Linked DNA regions of Oryza sativa Japonica Group. The protein of the gene in region 1 binds, or shares a complex with, the protein of each later gene. Links are inferred from orthologs where the notes say so. Each region holds a gene or a part of one and is shown in the gene's direction. Other genes may lie near its edges. The genes, in order: protein ACCUMULATION AND REPLICATION OF CHLOROPLASTS 6, chloroplastic; plastid division protein PDV2.

What was found.
Region 2: the proteins of protein ACCUMULATION AND REPLICATION OF CHLOROPLASTS 6, chloroplastic (region 1) and plastid division protein PDV2 are in contact, whole or in part, in a crystal structure (PDB 5GTB), measured with the Arabidopsis thaliana proteins. The link is inferred for Oryza sativa Japonica Group from reciprocal best matches to the Arabidopsis thaliana genes ARC6 and PDV2. Residues at the interface, in NP_199063.1 of Arabidopsis thaliana: Trp686, Gln687, Lys690, Phe694, Arg710, Met711, Ile714, Trp715, Arg718, Glu721, Thr722, Leu725, Leu727, Tyr729, Tyr731, Glu753, Leu756, Glu758, Ala760, Leu762, Asp764, Val766, His767, Asn770, Ala772, Thr773, Asp774, Arg776, Tyr778, Thr780; in NP_028242.1 of Arabidopsis thaliana: Glu287, Arg288, Val289, Glu290, Ile291, Pro292, Phe293, Asp294, Ala298, Lys299, Arg300, Asp301, Val302, Thr303, Tyr304, Gly305, Tyr306, Gly307.

Annotation. Positions count from the first base shown.
Region 1 is NC_089036.1:1,186,516-1,190,789, reverse strand, and holds the start of protein ACCUMULATION AND REPLICATION OF CHLOROPLASTS 6, chloroplastic, read left to right. Parts: upstream 1-1,187; 5' UTR 1,188-1,242; coding exon 1,243-1,542; intron 1,543-1,923; coding exon 1,924-2,154; intron 2,155-2,257; coding exon 2,258-2,482; intron 2,483-2,647; coding exon 2,648-2,908; intron 2,909-3,005; coding exon 3,006-3,870; intron 3,871-4,104; coding exon 4,105-4,238; intron 4,239-4,274. UniProt on the Arabidopsis thaliana protein: Component of the plastid division machinery consisting in a binary fission accomplished by the simultaneous constriction of the FtsZ ring on the stromal side of the inner envelope membrane, and the ARC5 ring on the cytosolic side of the outer envelope membrane.
Region 2 is NC_089041.1:1,208,914-1,213,075, reverse strand, and holds plastid division protein PDV2, read left to right. Parts: upstream 1-1,229; 5' UTR 1,230-1,342; coding exon 1,343-1,579; intron 1,580-2,541; coding exon 2,542-3,198; 3' UTR 3,199-3,413; downstream 3,414-4,162. Other genes in the region: uncharacterized protein, read left to right, coding at 1-6. UniProt on the Arabidopsis thaliana protein: Component of the plastid division machinery consisting in a binary fission accomplished by the simultaneous constriction of the FtsZ ring on the stromal side of the inner envelope membrane, and the ARC5/DRP5B ring on the cytosolic side of the outer envelope membrane.

The DNA of each region.
Region 1 (4,274 bases):
TCTCTCTTATGGATTATGAATTACCACGAACACACTTCGTAAGTTTTTATACAGTGTAATTGTTGCAAAAGTTTTCTATATATGAGTTTCACTCTCCTATAATATTTTCTAAAACAATATTTTTGTTTTTTAATAGTTAATCCGTTCGTTTGTCGTCAAGTATTATTACTGTGAAGTAATATAACTCATCATCAATTTATCCATTGACCTGAAAAGAACTAGCCCCCAAAAATCTAAATTTAAGCCAAAAAAAACATTTGAAACATGAGAGTTTGATGGTTTGCCACTTTTTAGATGGAGGATTTGATGATATCCCATCATAGCCCAACATCGTCAACTTTGTGGGGTGGGGGAGGGGGTATATCCTTGTCACTTGGTAGCATTGTAATCTAAAAAGTGTCAATCAACATGCTTAAACTGATCAGCCAAAGTTGCCTTTAAATGACTTGATGAAGGATCTCTTGCTTATATTTGGTTGAAACTTGAAAGCCTTTAGTCTAATTAGCAAGATGATGGGCTTTGGGTAAAAAGCTTCAACCCAAACAACCATTCGATAAGAACCTTGCTTTTAAACAAACCAAAACTGATTACAACTTTAAACAAGCCTTTCCACTTTCACACCCGACTCCAAACCAGTAAAAAACTTGGCTCTTAAACAAAGTCTAGCCTTTCCTCATATGCCTGTTAGCTTATTAAATATAACCAAAATTTAAAATCCGAGACTTAAATCTGTAGTCTATTTTTGAACATGAGGTTATAATGTGTTGTTTGTTTGCATCTGATTGATTGAAAAAAAATCCCTTGTTCTTTACGCGCACGCTTTCTGAAGTTTTAAACAATATATTTTTTTATTATTTTTTAAGTAGGAACGTTGTTTTTAAAATCATATTAATCTATTTTTTACTATAAAATAATTAATACTCAATTAATCATGCACTAATGACTCACTTCGCTTTGCATATCTCCTTAACCTTCTTCTTTCCTCTCCTTTCAAACACACCCTAAAATATTAGACTTAGCAAGATTAGTTTTGAAATTGGTGTCTCAATACTGGACCTAGCAAAATCTCCCAAAGTGCCCAAGTCTCCAATCATGCACCCAGATCATCCAGCAACAAGAAAACAACAGCAAAAAAAAAAACAAGGGCCAAAGCCAGCAAGGCTCCCCCTCTTCTCCCCCTCACTCCTAAAACCTCTCTCTCCTCCGCCCCCTCCATCTCCGCCGCCGCCGCCGCGGCGGCTAATGGAGGGCTTCCACAACCTCCTCGCCCGCCCCAACTCGGCGCCATTCGCCTTCTCCCTCCCTCGCCCGCGCCCGCGCCCGCGCCGCAGGCCGCCGCCTCACCCCTCCGCTGCCTGCCGCGCCGCGAGCCGCTGGGCCGAACGCCTCTTCGCCGACTTCCACCTCCTCCCCACCGCCGCGCCCTCCGACCCGCCGTCCCCGGCCCCGGCCCCGGCCGCCGCGCCCTCCGCCTCCCCCTTCGTCCCGCTCTTCCCCGACGCCGCCGAACGCTCCCTCCCGCTCCAAGTCGATTTCTACAAGGTGAGGCCCCGTGAATCTGCTGCGGTTTGTTCATCATTTGGACCTCGGAATATCATCCCGTAGATAAAAAAAAGCGCATGATTCTTGCCTTCTTGGTAGGTGATGATACATTGTCACTGCTAAATCGTTGAAACGTTATTCCACCTGCAAGTCTTTTGCTAGGTTACTGATCCCTCAGTTCCATGAAATCGAGTTATTTGCTATTTCCGTAGTGTCACTTCACTAGGTTATTAACTGACTACAATGCCGAATCCATCGCATTTGTGATCCACTGCATACTATGATACGAATTATGCCTATATCATGTGTGTGTGGGGCTAGTGAGAGATCATGCCTTTTTGACTATTTCCGAAATGTTTTGTTGAATCTGGCTTTGCTCAGGTTCTAGGGGCAGAGCCACATTTCCTTGGCGATGGCATCAGGAGGGCGTTCGAGGCACGGATAGCCAAGCCACCGCAGTATGGCTACAGCACGGATGCTCTTGTTGGTCGTCGACAAATGCTGCAGATTGCCCATGACACTCTCATGAACCAGAACTCCCGCACTCAGTATGATCGTGCGCTTTCTGAGAACCGTGAAGAAGCTCTCACCATGGATATTGCTTGGGACAAGGTGAGGCTTTAGGGGGCAGCAAAGGGTGTGTTTGGATCTTGTCAAATAGCACTAGTGTATAATCTCTCTCTGCTTATAATATATTGGGTGTCTTGTGAAGCAGGTTCCAGGTGTGTTGTGTGCGCTTCAGGAGGCTGGGGAGGCACTTGCTGTGCTTGTAACTGGAGAACAGTTGCTTCTGGATCGGCCACCCAAGCGCTTCAAGCAGGACGTGGTGCTAGCGATGGCTCTGGCTTATGTGGATCTATCAAGGGATGCTATGGCAGCAAGCCCTCCAGATGTAATTGGCTGCTGCGAGGTGCTCGAGAGGGCTCTCAAGCTCTTGCAGGTGAACTGTTTGCTTTTTTACTCCCTACTTTTTCATTGGGCTTATATTTGAATAGGATAAGATTAAATAACCCTGTGAAGATTGGTTTGGGACACATGGGCTATATTTTTTTAATAAGAATGGTGATTTCCTTGAAGCAATATTAATAGGAACTTCATACTGTAGGAAGATGGAGCAAGCAATCTCGCACCTGATCTGCTTTCACAGATTGATGAAACTCTCGAGGAGATTACACCTCGCTGTGTATTGGAGCTTCTCTCCCTTCCTATTGACACAGAGCATCATAAGAAGCGCCAAGAAGGGCTTCAAGGTGCGAGAAACATTTTGTGGAGCGTTGGCAGAGGAGGTATTGCTACCGTTGGAGGAGGATTTTCTCGTGAAGCCTTCATGAACGAGGCTTTTTTGAGGATGACATCAATTGAACAGGTTCGTACATGTTTGTTTTTATGAAGCAGCTGCCTATTTATATTGCAGGAGCACATCTTTGAAAACATGTTAACTCCCTTTCTGTTACACCTCCCAGATGGATTTCTTTTCAAAAACACCGAATAGCATTCCTCCTGAATGGTTTGAAATTTACAATGTAGCACTTGCACATGTCGCTCAAGCAATTATAAGTAAAAGGCCACAATTCATCATGATGGCGGATGATCTTTTTGAACAACTCCAGAAGTTCAACATAGGTTCTCATTATGCTTATGATAATGAGATGGACCTTGCATTGGAAAGGGCATTCTGCTCATTGCTAGTCGGAGATGTTAGCAAGTGCAGAATGTGGCTTGGAATTGATAATGAGTCTTCACCATACAGAGACCCCAAAATTCTAGAGTTTATTGTGACCAACTCTAGCATCAGTGAAGAGAATGATCTTCTTCCAGGGCTGTGCAAGCTTTTGGAGACTTGGCTTATCTTTGAGGTTTTTCCTAGGAGCAGAGATACTCGGGGCATGCAGTTCAGACTTGGAGATTACTACGATGATCCAGAAGTTTTAAGCTACCTAGAAAGGATGGAGGGTGGTGGTGCTTCTCATTTGGCTGCTGCTGCTGCTATTGCAAAACTTGGTGCTCAAGCTACAGCTGCACTTGGTACTGTGAAATCAAATGCTATTCAAGCGTTCAACAAGGTTTTTCCATTGATAGAACAGTTAGACAGGTCAGCCATGGAAAATACTAAAGATGGCCCTGGGGGATATCTTGAAAATTTTGACCAGGAAAATGCACCTGCTCATGATTCGAGAAATGCCGCCTTGAAGATTATCTCTGCTGGCGCACTGTTTGCACTGTTGGCAGTAATTGGGGCCAAATATTTGCCTCGTAAGAGGCCCCTTTCTGCTATTAGGAGTGAGCATGGATCTGTGGCAGTTGCTAATAGTGTCGACTCTACTGATGGTGAGTAAATGCTTTTCATTTGCTAAAGTAGTCAAACAACACTGGAATTTACTGCTCACGTGTTTACTGGGTATCCTTGTTGGCTGATTACAGTATGTTCTTGATCTTATAGCTTTGCATTAATGTTTTAACAAAGCTATACATCAAATATTTTTGTCTCATACATACACAATGCTACTATAATTCTGTAATGTATATCATAGAGAGTTAACTTTTGCATGATGAATGTTGAAGATCCTGCACTAGATGAAGATCCAGTACATATTCCTAGAATGGATGCGAAGCTGGCAGAAGATATTGTTCGCAAGTGGCAGAGTATCAAATCTAAGGCCTTGGGACCAGAACATTCGGTTGCATCATTGCAAGAGGTGATGTTTAAAACTTTGACTTTTCATGCTTCCTAG
Region 2 (4,162 bases), on another chromosome or scaffold:
ACCTAGCTCACCGATCTTGGCGTCCGCCATGAATGGCTTGGCTTGAGCTGTGTCAAGCTGAGTCTGAGTGAGTGAGATTAGAAGAAGATGATTAGTTCATGTGTTGATAGATTTGGTTCTAGGATGTTACACCTAATTATCTAGGATTGTGTTTGTGTGTGTGGGGGGGGGGGGGGAGAGAGATTAATTGAGCTGTGCAGAGTGTGATCTGTGCGCTTGTAAAGATAAAATTCTTTTTTATTTTTGTAGATACAGAGAGGAAAAAAAATAGAGGAAAGTTGAGACCAAGTGTCAGTTCAGTTCAGTTCAGTTCAAATCTTTAATCTGAAACTGAAAGAGAAACATAAGTATCGTTTAGTTCAGTTCCAGTTCCAGACACAGTTCAGAAATTCAGATTTGAATATGCAAATCAAAGTCGCCCCCTTTCGTTTCAAATTCCTTCTACGATCTGTGCGGGTTTCGTGGTCACCGCCACATCCAATAACATGACATGCAGATCCTCTGCAGAATTGCTGAAACAGTAAGCAATGGATAATATGAGGGTCCGGATCCACACAATAGGTTGAGTTCTTTGGGTTGTGTTTCAAGTGGCCAACTCACCTTCGTTTTTCTCGTGCACGTTTTCCAAACTAGCATATACTTAATTAATCATGCACCAAACAAAGAATCATATTAATACATTTTTTTAAAAAAAATAGCATATACTTAATTAATCAATCATGTACTAATAAGTCACTCTATTTTATGTGTGAGAGTAATTAGCTTCCAACGATAAGCAAAGAACACAGCCTTTAGTGTCTACTACTACATCAGCAGTACTGCAGACAATTGAACACAAAATATGTCGTGCGCGCTCCTGCTGATGGTGGCGACGGTGGATAGGACCTTTTCGTGACTAAAATGAAAAATACAGGGACTGAAGCTTAGGGTGATCTAAAACTCTAAACTTTCCATCACATCACATCACATAAAAACTTTTCTACTCACATAAACTTTCAACTTTTTTTCCAAACTACCAACTTTCCCCAAACTTCGGAACTAAACACAGCCTTAAAAATCCAAGAGAGGGATGATAATGAAAATGTTCTGTTCCGATGGACCAGATCGCAAAGCAGCCCATCACGAGAGTATCAGATCGAACGGCCAGCATCGACTCGGGGCCCACCTGCAGGCGGATGTGTCATGCAAAGCTTCGGATTCGGATACGCCCTCGGCCTCCTCACCACCACAGCCACGAGGAGGAGAAGACGACGCGCCGCCGCCACAGCTCGCGTCGCGTCTGCGCTCTCCTAGCGCCGTGCGGGGGTTTAGCTAGGGTTTTCCGCTTGCGGCGGCGGCGGCCATGGAAGGGGAGGAGATTGGCCTCGTCCTCGCCCGCGCCTCCGACCTCCGCTCCAGGATCTCCGCCTGCGTCGCCGCGGCCGGAGCCAGGGAGCCGCCGGAGGGCGAGGGCGAGGGCGGGGAGGCGGTGAAGCGGCTGTGCGATGGGGAGGAGGGGGAGGAGGAGGAGGAGGTGGAGAGCCTGGTCGGTATCAGCAACGCGCTCGAGTCGCTCGAGCGGCAGCTCGCCTCTCTGCAGGTCATTCTCATCTCATATCTATTCTTGGTGTTTCGTTCCATGTGTAAATATGCTAATCCTCATTTTCTAGTAGAGATTGAGGCTTGCATTGAAGATTGTGGGTTAGTAATTTTGTACTGCATTATTACTTTTCATTATATAATATACTCCGAATGATGCAAATCTATAATAATCGCATAGTAGAAGGTTTATGAGAGGGGAAAAGATAGATAGGTATCAATGCCATACTTGCAAATAAGGGCATTTTGAAGTTTGAAATGATTAAAAACAAATGATATTATCATAGGAACAGGGTATGACTGGAGTGACTGTGCAAGGTGTGCAGAGCGAACGAAGTTGCTGTCCATTAGTTAAGCTCATATACCAAACCTGCCATTTCTTAGCTAGGAATTTCTCTGCTTTCGGGGGAGAAGGGTGCTTCTGGTAAGAGGTGTGATGAGTTGTTGGGATGCAGATTTTCACTTTTAGTTATAACCAAATGGCCAAATTTAACTGTAAAACTTGTGAATCCTGTTTACTTGCTTTGCTGCACTAGGTTGGTATTTAACTATTTAAGATGCATCCCTTACTATTGCTTGTGTTAGTGAATTTCCTAAGAACTAGGATTGGCTTCCATTGCATTATCCCCATGAGTTTGTTTAGTTCTGTTATTTATTTCCATCTGAGTTTAAGTTTAAATAAGTCTTCTTCTATCACATTGAATTGTTAGGACTTGAATGTGTTCTATTACAATCTAGATTGCCATTTTTCATTGCTAAATATTTTGCTTTCTACTTCCTCTGTTTCACAATGTAAGTCATTCTAGCATTTCCCATATTCATATTGATGTTAATGAATCTAGATAGATATATATGTCTAGATTCATTAACATCAATATGAATGTGGGAAATGCTAGAATGACTTATATTGTGAAACGGAGGGAGTACATACTAAATGCCTGAACAACTTGCTGCCACTCCCAGGACCTCCAACACCAACAAAGATATGAACGAGAGACCATTTTGAGCCAGATTGATCGCAGCCGAGGATGTCTTCTTAACAAGCTCAAAGAATACAAGGGGCAGGACTGTGAAGTAATACATGAGGCTGCTTCTTTTGCTGGTGAAAAAATTGAACATGATGATGGTCTCATGCTACCTCCGTACTCAAATCATGTCACCAATTCGTTTGTTCTTGATGATCTGTATCCTCCAAGTTACTTGGCCAAGTTAAAGTGTATGCACAACGGATTGGGTTCTGGTGGGACTAACCAAGATGTTACAAAGACAAACAGGCTGGAGAACAGGAATGGTAGCATGCCAAACGGCAATTCACAAGGAGGAATTAGATCTTTTGTTGGATGGCTTGCTAAAACTGCAGTAATGGTTGTAGGTGCTGTATCTATCATGAAGGCTGCTGGTTACGAGCCAGTGATAGGAAGACACAGCATAAAATTGGATATGGCAGGTTTGTTCAGTAAGGAGGCAACCAGTGGAAAAGATCAGGCTACTGTCCAATGCCCTCCTGGTAAAGTAATGGTTCTCGAAGATGGCAGGGCTCACTGTGTTGTGAAGGAAAGAGTCGAGATACCTTTCGACACCAACCTCGCCTCTCCAAATGCAAGTTATGGGTTAGGCTGAAATTGGGCTTTTGTCAATATTAGGATTTAGCTAGTCTTTGAGGCCCTTTATATGATCTTCTGTAGAATGTGCCGAGCACACTTGTCTAAAGATTGAAGCCTATGTATTATATCTATCTATGATCGTCCATGTCTTGCTAATTGCCCTCGTTGGTGAACTCCATCAGTATGCTGCTCAGTTGATACCAGTATTATGTCATCAGCAGTTTGGTTTCATGTGTTGTGTATGTTGTCTCTTGTATTGGTGATGCGGTGGAGGGATAGATGGCGATTTTACTCTCTCCGTCTCAAAAATTGAGGAATTTTGGTTAGAGGGTGGCATATTCTATGAGCATGTTCAGATTCTAGGATGTGTGTCATTCAACCAAATCTTTTATATTTTAGGATAGGACGAAGGGAGTATGTTAGTACCTGTCATTGTATGTCTATGTCAGGTCCTGAAGGCACGGCATATTGAGGCTCGAAAAGGGCCAACCTGTGCCTTCGAAGCTGTGCAACAAGAATCTGAATCCAGCACAAAATTTCTCACCAGGAGGAAACAAGGTAGTAGTACATGTTTCTGACGATCCTTTCGAGGAATCTCATCTCTTCGCTGTCATGTGTCGTAGTAGAATCGCTGTGTGAAGCACAGGAAATTAAGCTGTTTGCTGCCAACGGAATGAAGCTGCGTATTACAGTACTTACATACAAACTCTGGTGCGCATATGCTAGCTGCAGAACAGCAATGGCAGTTCTTTTTTTCTGAACTTGGTTAATTTTTATTTCCAAATAACTTATTCCATTTCCAAGTGAAGGAACTAAGCTAGATGGATGAACGAGTTTCCATCAAGTTACAGCACAGTTGACAGGATCGATCGAGTTATACATTGTTTTGAACAGCAGGTAAAAACTCGTGTTGCTTTGCCTATAACCTTAAGCATGTGGACTTGCGAAGCACTAGTAATTAAACCGATGTCCAATGGATT